4 linked regions of the Arabidopsis thaliana genome follow. The protein of the gene in region 3 interacts with the protein of the main gene of each other region in a pairwise test. Each region holds a gene or a part of one and is shown on either strand. Other genes may lie near its edges. The genes, in order: MUB4, ATGP4, UBC30 and RGLG3.

Evidence for each region.
Region 1: the proteins of UBC30 (region 3) and MUB4 interact in a two-hybrid assay, tested with the Arabidopsis thaliana proteins (one study listed by BioGRID).
Region 2: the proteins of UBC30 (region 3) and ATGP4 interact in a two-hybrid assay, tested with the Arabidopsis thaliana proteins (one study listed by BioGRID).
Region 4: the proteins of UBC30 (region 3) and RGLG3 interact in a two-hybrid assay, tested with the Arabidopsis thaliana proteins (one study listed by BioGRID).

The regions. Positions count from the first base shown.
Region 1 is NC_003074.8:9,945,208-9,949,723, reverse strand, and holds MUB4 (membrane-anchored ubiquitin-fold protein 4 precursor), read left to right. Parts: upstream 1-1,639; 5' UTR 1,640-1,930; intron 1,931-2,205; 5' UTR 2,206-2,279; coding exon 2,280-2,409; intron 2,410-2,941; coding exon 2,942-3,112; intron 3,113-3,195; coding exon 3,196-3,257; 3' UTR 3,258-3,968; downstream 3,969-4,516. Other genes in the region: AT3G26990 (ENTH/VHS family protein), read left to right, coding at 32-171, 257-292, 546-1,298; AT3G26960 (Pollen Ole e 1 allergen and extensin family protein), read left to right, coding at 4,265-4,448. UniProt on the Arabidopsis thaliana protein: May serve as docking site to facilitate the association of other proteins to the plasma membrane.
Region 2 is NC_003075.7:12,849,147-12,853,658, reverse strand, and holds ATGP4 (Ubiquitin family protein), read left to right. Parts: upstream 1-1,848; 5' UTR 1,849-2,213; exon of another isoform or gene 2,214-2,309; 5' UTR 2,310-2,409; coding exon 2,410-2,539; intron 2,540-2,791; coding exon 2,792-2,962; intron 2,963-3,630; coding exon 3,631-3,686; 3' UTR 3,687-4,008; downstream 4,009-4,512. Other genes in the region: AMY1 (alpha-amylase-like protein), read left to right, coding at 2-134, 206-636, 861-1,226, 1,299-1,550. UniProt on the Arabidopsis thaliana protein: May serve as docking site to facilitate the association of other proteins to the plasma membrane.
Region 3 is NC_003076.8:22,727,084-22,731,854, reverse strand, and holds UBC30 (ubiquitin-conjugating enzyme 30), read right to left. Parts: upstream 2,841-4,771; 5' UTR 2,612-2,840; intron 2,123-2,611; 5' UTR 2,100-2,122; coding exon 2,030-2,099; intron 1,859-2,029; coding exon 1,731-1,858; intron 1,592-1,730; coding exon 1,487-1,591; coding exon of another isoform or gene 1,454-1,486; exon of another isoform or gene 1,223-1,453; intron 1,035-1,222; coding exon 891-1,034; 3' UTR 540-890; downstream 1-539. Other genes in the region: AT5G56140 (RNA-binding KH domain-containing protein), read right to left, coding at 3,923-4,072, 4,155-4,298, 4,381-4,497, 4,574-4,687. UniProt on the Arabidopsis thaliana protein: Accepts the ubiquitin from the E1 complex and catalyzes its covalent attachment to other proteins.
Region 4 is NC_003076.8:25,606,249-25,611,067, reverse strand, and holds RGLG3 (Copine (Calcium-dependent phospholipid-binding protein) family), read left to right. Parts: upstream 1-1,761; 5' UTR 1,762-2,041; intron 2,042-2,080; exon of another isoform or gene 2,081-2,141; 5' UTR 2,142-2,151; coding exon 2,152-2,220; intron 2,221-2,299; coding exon 2,300-2,384; intron 2,385-2,470; coding exon 2,471-2,611; intron 2,612-2,696; coding exon 2,697-2,810; intron 2,811-2,889; coding exon 2,890-3,067; intron 3,068-3,144; coding exon 3,145-3,250; intron 3,251-3,327; coding exon 3,328-3,446; intron 3,447-3,561; coding exon 3,562-3,712; intron 3,713-3,814; coding exon 3,815-3,871; intron 3,872-3,978; coding exon 3,979-4,062; 3' UTR 4,063-4,297; downstream 4,298-4,819. Other genes in the region: SAL1 phosphatase-like protein, read right to left, coding at 1-96, 216-421, 519-592, 699-774, 1,001-1,066; AT5G63960 (DNA polymerase delta subunit 1), read right to left, coding at 4,396-4,483, 4,589-4,676, 4,754-4,819. UniProt on the Arabidopsis thaliana protein: Possesses E3 ubiquitin-protein ligase in vitro.

The sequences.
Region 1 (4,516 bases), on a different chromosome or scaffold from region 3:
TATCTTACTTCTTGAGCATTGCTTTAAATAGGACACGCCCCTGGGCCAGCGGTGGTGAAGGAGTTGCAGGGACAACATGTCATATTGAGAGACTGCATCGAACAGCTAGGGGCAATGGAGACATCCAGAACAAGTCTTATCTCACATTTGAGAGAAGCTTTACAAGAACAGGTTTACATTTATACATTTTCTTTCAAAACAACATCTTTCATTGCACCGGCCAGAAACCTCACCTTGTTTTTGTTTTTGTGTCCAGGAACTCAAGCTGGAGCAAGTCCGTAACCACCTTCAGGTTTGAATACTTACCAACAAATGTGATATTTGTTCCTCAGACATTTTATACATTTCAATTTACACAATACATCATAACGTTCTCAATAGTACTTTCCGAGACATGCTGGTCTAGCTTCAAGCTTGTTTAGTGAATTTGTTCAAGGAAGATAGACCCAAATCTAATTAGGGTTCTTGGTTGCCTTTCCAAACAGAATGTTGCCTTGTCTTTATGCTATTTAGTTGAATTGATTTCATTTGTGCTACGATTTCAGATTGCTCGGTTTCAATCAGACCGAACTGGTGATCTCTGCAGACAGCTTCTAGACCATGGTGGTAGTTCACAGCCTCCTGCTACAGAAGAAGAAGAGTCAAAAGAAGTTATCAAAGTTTCATCCACTGCAGCAGCACCACAAAGCTTCACACACAGCGATGTGGAACAATCTGCACCAGTTATGTTTGCCTCAAACCCAACTCAATCGCTGGAAGACCCAAGAAAAACTGCTGCTGCTGCAGTGGTAGCTAAGCTAACTGCTTCAACTTCCTCAGCCGAGATGCTCTCCTATGTTCTCTCCTCCTTAGCCTCCGAAGGCATCATCGGAAACAACAACCCACCTGCTGTAACAGAAACTCTATCATCCGTCGATTTCCCACCAGAGAAAAGACCTAAGCTTCAAAATCATGACCAGTCGTATCTCTCACCGCACCATCAGAACACTGCAACAACATCATCCTCCACACCCCCACAACCGCTTCCACCACCACCACCATTCCAGCTTCAACCTCAGTTTTTGCAGCCGTTACAGCCTCCCGGGCCAGTAAACCACACACCATTCAACTACACCATAGCAACCTCTACTGCAACCACTCAGCAACAACAACAAGAACAAGGTCCTTGGGTACCTGGGCTCACTCAACTTTCAACAACCTCTGCTCCATCGGAGAATTCATACCAGAAGTTTCAGGGACAAGATGGTTTCTATGGCATTAACTCATCTGTGCCTATTACACCTGTCACTCGCCAGTAGTGTAAATCTGTTCGTAGGGGTTCATATAGCAAAAAGTTCACTTTTTTTTTTGGTTTTTTTTTGTTAAATATAGTTTCAATGGGCTTTTGATAATTAGGATTTTATGTTCTTAAAATGTGCTTTGTATGCTTTCTAATTGTGCGTCTAATCCAAGGTTTCAACTCTGTAAACATATCATAAAAATCCTTTGTTTTGCTCTGAGATTTTACTATTGTTGGAAGATTCTATAGATTTTCAAATTTTCTTGTTCCTCTCTTTGAAATTTACATGGAAGTCAGATTTGGACCAAAGTGATTTGTTGCTCGTCTTTTAAAGTCTTCTGGTCAAAACGCCGACAAGGCTTTGCTTTTGACTAATAAAGAAACATACTTTTCCACAATTTTCTTGTCTTTTTATCTTATTTCCTTACTCGTCAGGGATTCCCTGTAACGCGGCAATCCTGACGAAAGACATATCAGAAACTTTGATAGAATCACATAGCAGCAATCTCTTAGCTGGATTTTACCAGCTTCACTTTGAGATTAGGTCATTTACCCTTTTAAGGGTTTCTCTCCTACTTTCTTGATTCTCTTCATTCCCAAGACTCAAAACCTAGCAAACTTGGACATTTGGATTGAGTGTCTCTAGTCCGGGTAAGATTTGTGTGTTGTGGTAACTTTATCTGACGGTTTAGGAGCTTAGGTTGCTTAGATGAGTTCCAAGTTTTTATTTTTCTTTTGCTTATTGTTCTTCTTGTTCCTTTGGTCCAAGTTCTTGATTTGGACAGTAACTGAAAATTTCCTAATTGATTCCTTTAAGTTTGACTGTGCTCTTATTACTAGTCTTCTCTAAATATTTTTGTTCTTTGCTTCGACAATTTCATTGATGCTTTGAATTTGAGAATCTCTCTGTCCTCTTATTATTATAGGTCTCATTTGGGTGGATTCTTTCTGGTGAAATCTTTCTTGTGAGAGTTTTGTATTGGGAGAAAGAGATAATCAAATGCCGGAGGAAGATTTGGTAGAACTGAAATTCCGGTTATATGACGGTTCAGATGTTGGCCCGTTTCAGTACTCTCCAACCGCCACAGTGTCAATGCTTAAGGAGAGAATTGTCTCTGAATGGCCTAAAGGTTAGCACCGAGCACAATCTTTTGGTTTGTTTTTCGGCTAATCCGTGAAAAAGAAGTAAAAATGCGATAGAAGTGCTCTTTAATGCTTTAGATTTGGCTTTAGAACGTTTGCTTCAGCCATTTTTTTTTTTCTTCAGTTTCTTCACTTGTGGCTTGATAGACAAAGTTCAGACATAAGTCATAGGATCTGATTGACTTACTAATCATTTGTCTTAAAGTAGGAACAGAAGAAGGAAGTTAAACTATTGATCTTTTAAAAGGTTACTCGATCTTGTGATCTATGTTTTAACAGTTTCTCCACTTGTGGTATAGGCTTTTGAATTGGTCTGATTGTATTACTAATCACTTGTCTTATACTACAAATCATGTCTTTAGAGACTATAGGGACGAATACTGTTCTGGTTCTTTTTAGTAGAATTTCTTGATCTTACTCTTCAGTCTTGTGCATTCAACAAAAAATTGAATTTGTCTCATTTTGTTTCCTATTGTATCTTATTGACTAATCGAATTTGGGGGTTTTGAATGTGTGTAGACAAGAAGATTGTTCCAAAATCAGCTAGTGACATCAAGTTGATAAATGCTGGTAAGATTTTGGAGAATGGTAAAACTGTTGCACAGTGTAAAGCTCCATTTGATGATCTCCCTAAATCCGTCATTACAATGCATGTTGTCGTGCAACTGTCTCCAACAAAAGCAAGACCAGGTCTTGTTCTTTCTTATCTCCGTAAATCTTGTTTGTGGAATGAATTCTTTAGCCTAATATCTTGTTTTTTCTTTCTCTTACAGAGAAAAAAATCGAAAAGGAAGAAGCCCCACAGAGAAGCTTTTGCTCATGTACCATAATGTGAGAACAACAACAAGTCCCAAGTCAAAAAATCTGAAAGAGTTAAGTTTTGATTCTCTGTGGTATTTGCTAAAAGACCATATAAACATAAACTACCGCTTCATATTCGACATTTTCTTCACAAGTTCAAAGAAACCTTCATCTATGGCGTTATAAAGCTAGTCTATTAGAGTTGTTTCTCTTGAGCTGTGATGGAAAAACTCTTGTTTGGAGCATCCTTTATAAAGATAAGAGTTTTGTTACCGCGAACTAATTCAAGTATCTCTGTAACATATCTTGTATGGTTTTGTCAATCTTTAGTACATTTTAGACCTGGTTTTTTTCTCTATCAGGATCCGCCCAAAACTGTATCCAAACATCTTTATCCAGTCCATTACCTACAGTGAAAACGAGTACTAAACGTTTGCAGTTTGGTTCTTGAGTGGCAAACACTTTGATATGTTACTATATGGTCCATACCTTTCTCATCATTTTCCACTTCCACAAAGCCAATGTTTTGGGGATGTAGGTAGATACAAACCTCCAAAAGAAACAGAGAGCATGAGATCTCAATAAATGTCCTTTCACCTAACTTATCACTGTCTCCCACTTAATTCTCTCATTTATAACCTTCACTTTCACTTAGTGTCTCTCCACTATCTTGTCTTGTTTCGCCTTTAATTCTATTCCTCTCCTCTGGCTCTCATTTATAATCTTCACTCCAAATGCACCTTTCTTTGTACTCCCATCACTTTCTCTTCGATATGGTATTTACTTTAATCCGATTCGAATATTGTAACTATGAAAAACAAAATGAATAGTAAAAATATCCGTTTCGTATCCAAGCCTATTTTTAAAAGACACGTTTGTATAACTCTCTCTATATATAGAAAGGAACCACGAAGCTCTTTCAAGAGAGTTCTATTCTTGTCTGAAAACTAGTTCCCTATATTTCTTCTTTCTTCACACACATATTCTCCAATTCTTACATAAATATCAAATAAACCAAACTTGAAACTTGTTGTGCTTAAGATGACGAAGAAATCACTGACAATGTTTCTTTTTATACTTCTGCAATTTCTGCTCGTAAACTCTCTATCTTCAAAGCATTCATCACCCAAACCAAAACCAGATGCAGAAATCACTATAATGGGTTTTGTTTACTGCGATGTTTGCTCCAAAAACAGTTTCTCTAAACACAGTTACTTCATGTCCGGTAGTAACTCAGAACAAAAAGATCTCTTTAATTAATTCCCTGCAAAAACTCTGTTTCTTAACGTTTCT
Region 2 (4,512 bases), on a different chromosome or scaffold from region 3:
GAGTTTCAATTGGGAGTCATGGAAGAAAGAAGGAGGATTCTACAATTCTCTCCACAACTCCATTGACGACATAGCCAACGCTGGAATCACTCATCTTTGGCTTCCTCCTCCTTCTCAATCCGTTGCTCCTGAAGGTTCCATTTCTGCTTTACTCTTTACACATTCACATACCAATCTTGTTACTCACGCAATCTTCATTCCTCAGGTTACTTACCGGGAAAGCTATACGATCTAAACAGCTCCAAATACGGTTCAGAGGCGGAACTGAAATCGTTAATCAAAGCGTTGAATCAAAAAGGAATAAAAGCTTTGGCTGATATAGTGATTAACCACAGAACAGCTGAGAGGAAAGACGATAAATGTGGATACTGTTATTTCGAAGGTGGGACTTCCGATGATCGTCTTGATTGGGATCCTTCCTTTGTCTGCCGCAATGACCCTAAATTTCCCGGTACCGGAAACCTCGACACCGGAGGAGATTTTGATGGAGCGCCCGACATCGACCACCTTAACCCTAGAGTTCAGAAAGAGTTGTCCGAATGGATGAATTGGCTTAAAACTGAAATCGGATTCCATGGTTGGAGATTTGATTATGTTCGAGGTTATGCATCTTCCATCACCAAATTATACGTTCAGGTAAATCACATATGAATTCTCAAATATCAGACAACAGTATTAGTATATAAGAAACATAGGTTGAGATAATTATTTACTATTAGTATATATAAGTATCATAGGTTGATAGGGTTATTTACTACTATTTAGTATATAAGAAACATAAGTCAATGCAATCAATAAGAAATATATAAGAAAGTTCACTACTGATTATGTGATAAATTCCTCTGTTTTTGGATACACAGAATACATCACCGGATTTTGCGGTGGGTGAGAAATGGGACGATATGAAGTACGGAGGAGACGGGAAACTAGACTATGATCAGAACGAGCATCGGTCGGGTCTCAAACAGTGGATCGAGGAAGCGGGTGGTGGTGTGTTGACAGCTTTTGATTTCACCACCAAAGGGATCTTACAGTCTGCTGTCAAAGGTGAGCTTTGGAGACTAAAGGACTCGCAGGGAAAACCGCCTGGTATGATAGGAATCATGCCCGGAAACGCTGTCACATTCATAGATAACCATGATACATTCAGAACGTGGGTTTTCCCTTCTGATAAAGTCTTGCTTGGATACGTTTATATACTTACTCATCCAGGAACTCCTTGCATTGTAAGTATCATTTTAGTATGTAGCTATACTATTTACAACTACAATCTTGTTGATATGTTATTTTTGTTGCAGTTTTATAATCATTACATAGAATGGGGACTAAAAGAGAGCATCTCAAAGCTGGTGGCTATCAGGAACAAAAATGGGATTGGTAGCACAAGCTCTGTAACGATAAAAGCGGCAGAGGCGGATCTCTACTTGGCTATGATTGATGATAAAGTTATCATGAAGATTGGACCAAAGCAAGATGTGGGAACACTTGTTCCTTCTAATTTTGCTTTAGCTTATTCAGGCCTTGACTTTGCTGTCTGGGAGAAGAAGTAACGCATAACTCGAATCATAAGAAAAGTAATCGAATGTATCTTCTTCCTTTTTAATAAAACATTTTGGCAGTATCTAAAGATATGTATAATGAAATATAAAATGATAAAGAATACCTAAATAAAAAGAGCACTAGTGGTGTTAAAGGATACAACTCCAGTGAAAGAAAAGAGTTCAAGTGAAGAAGTGTCAACTTGTAGAAATAAGTATTGGAAAGTTTCCATCGTTTTGTTTTGTTGCATACAACTAATATATTATATATTGGCCGACTCGTATAAGATTTGGAGCCCTACTAAAATCAGAATTATGATGTCTTAACCACACAATACTGCCAAAATCAGAACGAATTATATTATTGTAGAAGAAGAAAAAAAAAGTATGGTGGGAAGTGGGAACAGTTAGACAGGTAAATTCGAATAAAACGACAGCGTTTTTGGCTAGGACAATAAAAGTTGAAGACGTCGGCTTGAGAAGAAGTAGAAGTGACGACGAAAAGAAAGGGGAAAAAAAAAAGGAAGGAAAAAAGTGAAAACCGTCGGCTTGAGAAGGAACTTTGATATTTGGTGACTCTTGAAAAAAGCAAGCTCTTTCTTCTTCCTTCTTTCGCTTTTTTCACACCTCAAAATCAAAGATCCGAAACACGATTTCGGAGGAAGCTTCGATTCTGTGTGTTTGATTCTTCCTCTTTTTTGTTTTTTGTTTTTTTGTTCTATCCCGTTTCGAAGCGAGCTCTGATTCTCGTTCCTGTCTACTTTTTTTCAGACCTATTTTCAGATCTGAAATAGTTGTGTTTGAGAAGCGGGATTGGTGATCGGAGCTGGAATTTGGTTGGTAATCGGAGGTCAGAGAGAAGTCAACGGATATGCCGGAGGAAGAATCGATAGATATCAAATTCAGGTTGTACGATGGCTCCGATATCGGGCCTTTTCGGTATTCTGCGGCTTCTACTGTTGACTTTTTGAAGCAGAGGGTCGTCTCTGATTGGCCCAAAGGTTAGTTTTAAGGTTTTTTGAATCGGTGCCCCTTTTTCCCCAATCTGATCCTGGTTTTATTCATGATCTTCCCACGAATTTCGTGTTGATTGTCACTGAATCCTGCAATTGTCGGTAGAAATTCGAAATTTAGAGCTGTAGATGAATTATTATTAGCTCATTTGAGATGTTATAAGCTTGATGTATGAGAAAAGCCAAGTCTCTGTGATTTGAGGTTGATCCAAGCATCAATTTTTTTGTGGTTTTGGTTAGGCAAAACAGTTGTTCCAAAGGGGATAAACGAAGTGAAGCTGATAAGCTCGGGTAAGATCTTGGAGAACAACAAGACTGTTGGGCAGTGTAAGACACCATTTGGAGATATTGCTGGTGGAGTCATTGTGATGCATGTTGTTGTACAGCCTTCTCTAGCTAAATCCAAAACAGGTAGTTGTTTGTCTATGTGTAATGTTCTTCATGTCTTTTATATCAGAGAATTCCCGTTTCATGGAGATATATGTGTCCTTAGAGGTTCCTCAATCTTTCATTAGTCTTGTGGTATTTATCTTGTCAACTGTATGGATTATGGTATTCATTTATCTGGCTCAACTTTACGTCTTATAATATCTAGCTCTAGTCATACTTATATTAATTGAGGCTGGTAAGATTTCGTAAGAGTGTTCATGCACATCAGAAAGTTAGTCGGTGACTAAGATCAGTACATTCTTTTTCTTTCTAACAGCCTATGGTACTGACTCAATCAACCTATCAGGTGATTAGTGGTTTTGTCTAAATTTGGTTTGTTTGTCTTGAGAGAGAGTAAAGGATACCCTAGAATTCATTCCTAGGTTTCTGGTGTGTTCTTTGTGTGAAATAAAGCAAAAATCAGCTCTAAGCTTAGCAAAGCATGCCATGAGGAAAGGAATACCTGAATTCATTATTGGTCGTCATCTCCTTGTAAACCCCACTGAAAACTTTTGCCAGTCTTTGAGATTTGTCTGCATAATTTGTTTTTTCACAAACTTGAGAAAGTCGTGGAAAGTGAGTTTGTGATTACTAAGACGTTTGTTGATGAAAGCTAACTAACAGTTGAATACTGGTTTTTGATTAAACAGAGAAGAAGGTTGATAAAGCACCAAAGGCAGTAATCTGCACATGCACCATTTTGTGAAGGGAGGAAGACCAATGTATCTATCATACACATCGTTTCAATTCTTCCGGTACAGAAGAAAACAAAATCAAAAAAAGAAAGCTAAAAGTAAAGTAAAGCTTCCCTTTAAGCTGTGGAGTTATTTATCATCTTTGAATGTGTAGAAAATGAACTATAAATTCTTTTCAAGTAACTCTTTGTCCCTTATTTGTTTTTTCTTCTTACTTTCCCAATGTATGGAAGCTGTATAGGTTACTAGGTCCATTACGTTACGTGTGATGAAGATAATTATATATCTATCTATTTTTAAAAAAGATTGTGCCTTTGTATTTTTCGTTCTTCCTTTCACACCGTTTTAGTATAGGTGAATTTGCGAAATGGCCAAATTCTGGCTGGCCCGTAAATGTAATTAATGAATTCATGAACTCTGAACATCACTTCGAACAGAAAATTCATCTCTTTTTGTTTTAGGTTGGGAAAAGGTAAGAGGATGGAGTTGCGGTTCCGATCAGACAGACAGGAAGAGTAGTGATGGATGAAGGCGACGTAGTCTCGAACAGAGGCATGATGTAATAACACATGATATATGACACAAGTCATAACCTAGCTACTTATAAATACCAACATAAACTAAAAAAAGTCATAACAATGGTATGTACTTATCTACATTAAAAAAAAAAAGAATTGCAGAAAGATGGCAATATGAAACTAAATTGAATCAAACACATGTACTACAAACAATAGTTAAAAATATCAAAACACAAGTAAAACAACCTAGTTTTAACATTTAAAACGAGGAGAAAAAAAACCAAAAAAGGGAGCCAAGCTTTATGCGTGGCGCTAAAAA
Region 3 (4,771 bases):
TTGGTAATAAATTGCTTGCGCACGTTTTCTTCTGCGGTTTTTGCATCGCGTGTATTCGTGTATTTCGCATTAACTGTTGAGTTACACTGTTACCTCATGCGTTTCTTTCTTAAATGTCATCAATATTTGAAGCTTCGTATGGTCGACCAAACTTAACCGAATTCAACATTTTGATTTAAATTTATAAACACTTCTTCTTCGAATTTATTTATTTCCCCCCAAATAATCACTTGTTTCTGATGCACATCAGACCTCACCCAACCAAAAACGCGTTCTAATGGTGAAGTCACACGGAATTCATTTTTTTATTTAACAGCTATATACATTATGTATCTTTGTCAGCTATGAAAAAGACCGAATAAGTAGCTAAATTCGTAAACCAGTTAAATATAACTTGTTCCAAACCCAATTTGAAATTTTCAAATAAAAAAGAAAGAGAAAACCGTACAAATGGATCAAGTCAATAGTCATATTCAGTTGTTATTCTATTCTCAAGACTTTTATAGTAGTTTGCCAATAGGAATCTAACACCGTATAAACTTGTCACGATCACCAAAATGTGTTGGTCCAACTCCAATCTAATTTCACAATCACTATTATGCGCAAATGTTTTATTATCTGCAAACTTATGTGATATTCTTCTACACTACTAGCAAGGGACTCATCATGATAGCGGATTATTGGCTTAAAAGCATTTGCAAGATCTCAATGTTTCAAATAAGGCATAAAGCTCATGTACACACCCAACACACAGCTTCAAGATATAATTAAAAAAAAAAAACTAATAAGCAAAAGTAGCCAAAGTAAAAGCCAAACTGAGTTTTTTTCTTTCTTTCTTATTTCTCCTGTTTAATACGCAATGTACTGGTGGTGGGTATTATTGCTTGTTATCATCCCATTGCATACTTCTGAGTCCAGGATTGAGCTGTGGACTCGTACTTGACTCGGTCTGTCTTGTAGATGTGCGCTATTTCAGGAACCAAAGGATCGTCAGGGTTTGGATCCGTCAGCAATGAGCATATCGACAGAAGAACCTGCGGAAATTGCACCACCAACTTTAGTTCTTCAGCTTATATGCAAATAAAAGATTATCATTGTCTCGCTAATGAGAGTCATTAAACAAATTAAATCTAGATAACATGTCATCAACAGCGATAATGAAGGCCTTTAAACATTATAACATAATGTAACACTCCTATTAAAAGAGATAACTAGAATTTACTTGACTAATCCATATCACAGCATTTAGACAAGGGTACAAATAACAGAGCTCAATCTTTTATGATAATGGCCTTGACTATATCCAAGGGATTGCGATGTTGTTTGTTCATAAAACCAATGTAAAGAGAGGTTGGTCAAAGAAGATAATCACATCAGAGAACGAACTAAGACATGACCATTTAACTAAGACATGGTCACAAGAAGGTGTGGTGGAAAATAGACTAATGCTATACTAAAAAGTAAGGAAGTGAAACAATTTGATCACCTTGGATACGGTAAGTGCAGGGCTCCACTGCTCTTTCAGAATGTCAAGACAGATACTTCCATTACTGTTGATGTTTGGGTGATAAACCTTGGTCCGGAAGGCAACCTGCATCATAAACAATGAAGGTTTATTGCCACAAAAAGCCTACTTGATTGAACACTCTCTCTAAATCATAATGGTGTGGATGAACAAATTCATTAAGCTACACAAATAAACATAACAAAAAACAAAAAACTTCTGTTACCTTTGGTGGCTTGAAAGGGTAATCTGGTGGGAAGTGAATGGTAACAAGAAACACACCTCCGGCAAACGGGCTATCTGCTGGACCCATGATAGTTGCTTGCCATTGGAACATATCATCTCCCGTAGGACCTAATAACATCACCAATTCATTAAAATCTAAATAGCTCATAATGTATCTTAAGGACAAAAAAAAAAACATTCTCCTAAAACTGATTCTGAGGTTAATGCTACATCATCTACTGAATCTATCAAAGTGGTTCTTTAAATTTCACAGTAGATATCATAGATTAAAACACTCACCTGCACTGCAGGACACAGGAGGATCTCTTTGCAAGTCCCTAAGCTCTTTGTTAATTCTTTTCGACGCCATTGAATAGTCCTAGCTTCTGCTAGCTAGGAACAAAATCAAATCAAAAAAATTACTATACTGCTACAAGTACAGATGCAAAAGCAGTACACAGCAAAAACCAGTTAACATATGGAGCAAGAACATAGCTATCCTAAAAGGAAAGACTTTATGCAAATCAGCTTTGATAATTAGCCTAAGATACACCTCCTGAAGAAATCAACCAGAAAAATCTCGAAATCAAACACTCAAGCCCAAGAGACAATCCGATCAGAATTCGATCAAACAGAGAGAAAATCAACGAACAATTCAGAAACAGATCAAGCAATTACGCATCAGTTAAAGGTAAATCATCAGAAGTAGGTACGAGAATATTCTAGAACCAAGATAACAGAAAAAACACATGGATCGACGCAAGGAAACAAAACCGCGAGAGAATCAAACGACGAAGATCAAGAACTGGGAAACGAATAAACCCTAAGAGTAACGATGATTCAAATCGAAATCGAGATTTATCGGAGCTAATTTTGACCTACCTTTTGTTCGGTTTCTAGGGTTTTGGATTTGATGATCTTCGGAAATCTCAAGGGGTTGTTTTGAAGATGAAACTTGTTAGCATCGATACGGTTTATATAGATTCCTCTCTTTCGAGCGGTGAAGCTTTGCCACGTAGCGAGCTAGATTCTGTACTTATGGGCTATAATAAGGCCCAATCGTTTACTGACGGAGCCCATTGACTCTTTTGTCCATAATAAGAAACGTTATGCAAATTTGGAAAAAGAAAATAGAAGAAGGATTAAACAAGAAATTTTCAAAAAAGAAACAGGAAATCAAAAGAAAATGATATTTATTTCAGATTGCAAAGATTTGGTACCTTAAGGGGAAAAGGGAAAAGTGGAAAACTTATCACAATTTTTTTTGACATATGTTCCTTTTGTTCTTAAAAAACTTTCTTATATGAAAAGAAAAACACTTTCTTATATGCAAATAAAATCTATACATTACAAAAATTGTTATGCATTTGCATATTACTAATAAAGTAGTATTTGTGAATGGTAGATTTCATATGTAAGATGTTACTCTTACCAAATTCGATAGGATTTTAAAATTATCTTTTATATAAAGTACATAACAATTTTTGAATAGGCCTTTTTTGTAAAACAGTAAAGGAAAGCTACCTTGCATCACAAGAAACTAGGTTATAAGGGTCACAGGCCATTAAACCGATTGACATATGGGTATACTAACCGATTTACTTAAATATATAGATCTGTTTAAAGTTTAATCAAGTAATCTTTCAATGTTGAAAACAGAGTTGACATGTAATAGAAAATGTCGACTTCCAGTAATAAAAATGTGAAAAATACTCGAGAACAGAACATTTGCTTTACATAATTCCACATATCATATTGAAACAAGCTTTACTTTGACGTTTATGTATCCAAAACATATTATGATTATTATCATTACCAATACCAGACACAAACCATCATCATGATTTAATGTTTTCTTTTTGCTAAAACAACAAATAAACAAAAAACTTAAAAGAAAACTGTTGGAACCCAACTTTCCAGACATAAAAACATAAACAAAAACAAAATCAAAGTCTCGGAGAGAGACAGAGACTCATCAGCTCTTGTGTTTCCGTTGCAATTTTGTCATCTGATCTCTCTCCGGGACAATGATACATAGACTGACAAACACATTTCATAAATCATATATACAACATTTCTACCCCAAGGACAAGAGACAGTACCGTGTCGTCAAGAGTGGTATGGCCTTTTTGTGTCGACTTTTGGATCGGTTTCATATTGCTTTATGATCACAGCCAAACTGTTCGATGGTTTTTACCCTTCTCTTGTTTTGGCTCTCTTCATACCAAGGCTATTGTAAGGAGAAACAGAACCGGACATTGGAGATCCTTCTTCACGAAGAGTTCCATTGAGCAATGCTAGCTCGCGCAGCTGTTGTTTCTTGTACATATCATGGGTTTCCTCCTATAAAACAGAAACCGAGTGTGAAAACTTTGTAACAATAACTGGTTTAAAATCAAAGGGAGGGGGAGAGCTAAAAACAAACCATAGGAGTAAGAAGATCGTCAAGTATTTCCCGAGCTTGCATGAGCCGTGCATCGACTATTTCAATCGGTAATTCTGCTTCCACTAAGATATGAAGTGGTTCATTTAGGTGCTCGTATCCCGGTTTTCCTCTCATCATTTCCTCCTACAAGAAGAAATATATTAACACCTTGTACAAACATTGAAATGTAGATACAAATGAAGTTGTAAAGTTTAATAATAAATACCTTAATTGGATCTTTTATACTTCCTCTTCCTCTTATAAGAACACGGCAATCAGTACTTGCTTCAACTCGCTTCAGGGAGTTTCCTCTAGGACCCAGGAGGCGACCAACAAAATTGAACTGCCATATAGAAAATTAAGGAGTTACATTCCAACCAGGAAGTAGTATATCTCAGTGTAGAAATGAAAGTTCATACATTCGGATAATTGTCGACTGGAATATCGACCCTGATTGTACGCTTGGCGATGAGACCGGACGAACTACCAGGTGAGTTAAGCCAATTTGGTCCCGGAGATGATGGAACAGATCTCTGCAAATGATCAACCAACAAAATTAGAAGCAAGATCAACCTTTAAGCATAAGCACATGAATACTGCAACTTCTTGCCCTGGAA
Region 4 (4,819 bases), 2.9 Mb from region 3:
GCTAACGGCAAGTTTGGACAAGCAAGCACACCTAAAACTACTTTCCCTTCCTCGAGCAATCCTAGTGCTACTGCGTATTGATCTCCCCTCAGAAATCTAAAATCATGAAAATGCTCAGTGTCAGGAACATAACATCTGACTCAACATTCTATCAAATTTACATTTTCTCTGAAATAAGAAGATTTGACTTTAGGCTAGTTAGTTTTAAAACGTACCCTTTAGTGCCATCAATTGGATCCAAGACCCAGTGTCGACCATTTGGACCACCTTCAGATGTTCCACAGTCAATGGCTCTAAGTAGATCATCAGTAGACAAAGTAGAGCCATTAAACGATTCCTCGGTAGCCAAAGTGTCGTTCACGAGTTTTGTGATGCGCTCCAGAGTATCCTGAGAACCATCCTTGCGTAGATCGCCTGAGTCCTATATAGATCATTTTAGACAATGTGAGTCCATAAACACAAACTCAAAGATAAGTAAAGTGTGAGACATCTAACAAGGATTTATTAAGCAGTTTCACCTCTTCAGCCACCAATGAAAAGGGTTCAGAACTGAGCTCTTTTTCTAAGACTAAACTAACAACTGCTTGTGAACCTGAAATTCAACACAAGACAGATCAAATTAAGTGATTTCCTAACAATCTCAGTAACATTCAAAGAGAAGAGCTTTTTCTAATCAGGGACAGGTATAACAAACTAACCATAATCAGCAACGGTCACTGGACTTTTATCAGATTTTGATTGCACATCTGATTGCAACAAAGCCTTTTGAACTTTCTGAAACAAACCCAAAACACAAAGATAAGATTTTGATCAAAGATTTACACGAGCTTCGTATGTAGAGGACCATTACACTATATCACTAGAATCTATTCCCAATTACAGATGCAATGCACAATAAACACAAAATGTTAAACGAAATTTGGAAGATTTACAAAATGGGTTTCTTAAAGAATCAAACTTTAGAATCTATGGGTCATGATTGAATCGAAAAAACCCTAACCTGACAGAGACGAGCAGCGAGTGAAGCAGCTTTCTTAGCAGCATCAAGCTCTTTCTCGTAAGCCATCGATGAAACAACTCTGAGAGTAACAAATGAAGGAGAAGAAGACTTGCGTCCGAATACAGAAACGAGACGGTTCGATGAATTTCTAGGTCTCGAATTCGTTCTTACTGCTACAAATGATTGAAGCGGAGCCTTCGCTGTTCGAAAACAATTTATAGACATCATTCGCTTTTCAAGAAGATAAATATATGTCTTCACATTTTCTGATTGCAGAGACAATTATTATTACTTTTTTGAATTTCCCATTTACACCAGTGTACTTATTTATTCTCTGAACTTAAACCCTAAACTTTATTTTAGATCAAGAAAGGCCATATTTGCTCTGTTGGTTTAGGGGTCCATGTGGCACCAATTGAAAGAACAAGTACAAACGGTGAAAATCATAAAAATAAAAAACTTTAGTGATCTTCGTAGATTGGTTGTTGAGTTTTGGGCTAATCGCACGTGGATGTTGTGGTTGAAACATAAGTGAATTTATAGGTGGTGAAGATACAAAAAGGCTTCTTGATGAATGAAGAAGCCCAATAAAAACGGTTCTGGGTTAATATATTTTGAGGGAATCAAAAGCCCAAATAATTTTCTTCAGACAAGAGCTACAGCTTTGCCACGTTGTCCACATGAATCATGTTGAAATTTGGTCTATGATTTTGGGTTATGGATAAATCATTAATGACGCAGAGACAAGACTAAAAAAGATTTCTAGATTGATGATGGCGTGTGAGAGAGCAAAATACGTTTTGATTATTTGCCGGCGCAAGCAAAGGGTCACGTTCCACTAACTTTCAAGATTCAACAAAACCCACTTTCTATAGTTTTATATGTTCATTTTTTTCTGCTAAAGTATTTTTATATGTTCATATTTCTCTTTTGTGCCATCTTTTTAATAATTTAATCTTCCTACAGAAGATAATCTCCAACAAAAGTTTTTTCTTACAAGAAAGATTCCGAGAAGTCTTTTGTGTTTTCAACAAACTCCAGGTTGATATATACTTGCCACTTGTGTAACTGTATCTTTTATTCTTGATTTTGATTGGTTTCTTCTCCAAAGATTGGATTTCTGAAGGTTCTTGTGCTGCAGGGTTTTTTCAATGAACATGAGCAATAAACGTAATCAGCAACCTTCGTATATTGCTGATCATTTCAGCAGTTTGGATCAGGTCTCATAAACTTACTTAGTTATTTCTTGATTTTAGTCTCTTTCATAGTGATGAATTTCTTGTGAACTTTGCTTTTTAGGTGATAACTTCTCTGAGAGAAGCTGGACTTGAATCTTCAAATCTGATTCTAGGAATTGACTTTACCAAGAGCAATGAGTGGACAGGTAATTATTTGATTTGATAAAAAATGCTACACATGTTTACGAAAAGATTCAATGGTTTTGGTTAATGTTCTGAATTTTCATTGCAGGGAGATATTCATTCAATAGAAAAAGCCTTCATGCCATTGGTAAAAGACAGAATCCATATGAGAAAGCAATATCGATTATTGGTCGTACTTTGTCTCCCTTTGATGAAGATGATCTTATACCTTGTTTCGGTTTTGGCGATGGTTAGTTTCTTATTTCTTGCTTTCAAGATGAATGAATAAGATAAACCAAAGTTCTTAATGGTTTTATGTTTTCTTCTTCCTGCAGTAACAACGCGAGATCAATATGTATTCAGCTTTTATCCCGAGAACAAAAGCTGCGACGGATTGGAAAACGCAGTTAAAAGATATAGAGAGATTGTCCCACATTTGAAGTTGTCCGGTATTTTTGAACTTTCAAAAATGGAGCAGTTTTGTTCTCTCTTATCGTAAAGATTAATCAGTGTATTCTTCCCTCACAGGTCCTACCTCGTTTGCACCGGTTATTGATGCTGCCATCAACATAGTTGAGCAGAACAATATGCAATACCATGTTCTCGTCATTATCGCAGATGGTCAGGTCACAAGAAATCCAGATGTGCCGCTTGGTCGACTTAGTCCACAGGAAGAAGCTACTATGAACTCGATAATGGCAGCGAGGTAAAACTATTCAATAAGCTCATATTCATGATCAGACTTCATATGTATACTAATGATGTTTGATATAAATTTTCCAGCCATTACCCATTGTCGATAGTCTTGGTTGGAGTAGGAGATGGACCATGGGACACAATGAAACAATTCGATGACAATATTCCTCACCGTGAATTCGATAACTTCCAGGTAATATAATAAAACCCTGAATAGCTCTGTTTTGTTCCTGAAACATGAATCATGAAAAACTGTGTTTTGTTCCACAGTTTGTAAACTTCACGAAGATAATGTCAGAGCACAAAGATGCGGCTAAGAAGGAGGCTGCTTTCGCACTCGCAGCTCTCATGGAGATCCCTTTTCAATACAAGGCTACATTAAGTCTCAAGTAAATGCAATAAAAAATTTACCGTTGGAAACTACTTGTATCACTCACTGTTTATGGTCTTATTGCATTAGATTCTTTGCCAACTAAACCAACCTTTGATTGTGCTTATGAACAGTAGAAAACCAGTGCGCAGTTCCCATCAGCACCACAAGCCACTCCCGCCACCACCAGAGGTTATAGAGCGTGACAATGCTGTTAGATCGGTGCCAAATCAGATGACAGAAACTGCAGAGAAAAGTGACAGACTCGCTCCTTCCACAGTGCCGGTAAATACTCTATTATTTCTGCCTTTGTTTCTGTTCTTTTGTCAATGAGTATACTCAGTTTCTCTGATACTGAGATTTACATTCCTTTTGTTTTTCAAAAAGGTATGCCCGATTTGCTTGACGAATCCAAAGGACATGGCTTTTAGCTGCGGTCACACGGTATGTGAAAATTTCAAAGGAACAATTATACTCTTACTTGTTCTATGAACTGTACTGCTTCTAGATCGATTTTGTGACATCTCCGATACTTTTTATTTCAAATAAAGACATGCAAGGAATGCGGAGTTGTTATCACAACATGCCCACTATGCAGACAACCAATAACAACAAGGATAAGGCTGTACACTTGACTCGGAAAAATTCTTAGAGATGAGACAAATTATATGGTTAAGCACTTGAGCTTCATGTTTATACTTCTGTAGAACATTGTACAGTCCAAGCAGAAGAATTGTAAAGCATAAATCTCGAGTTGTAGTTCATATGTAATTCTTAGCCTGCCGAAACAAGGAGATATGCGAGAAGAGTTCTCTTTTTGTATTAATCAACAGCTACGTACAAATAAGCCGAAGAGGTCCTTTTTATAACATTCCAAAGAGACCTACAAGTTCTAAATCAAGCGGAAAGTGTAACAGCAACGATACCAATGGAAAAAAGAGAGAGCTAAAAACAACCTTAAATACTTATTAGAAGCTCCAACGGTCGAGTTGTTGCCTGGCTACAGCCATGTCTTTTTGTGCTTTCATTCTCCGGTAAAATATTGGACAATCTCGACTGTAAAAGACCAATAAGAAATCCAGAAAGGAAATTGGATCAGAACCTATTTACCTGCTGAAAGATTTCTAAAAGAAATTGATATCGATAAAAATATAAGCAAACCTGGTGCACAAGACATCTTGATGAAGAGAGCCTTGACACTCCTGGCACTGTGTCCACAGCCTCCCAAAAACCTCTTCAAGCTCAGCCACTGAATAACACAACGAAAGTATCAAATTTTATAGATATATCAAAGAGTCTATAGGAAAGGGAAAAACGGCAGCATACCTTGAGACACGTTTTTGCAATATAACTCGGCTTCTCTTCCCTTGCAACTTGCGCATAGTGTTCCAT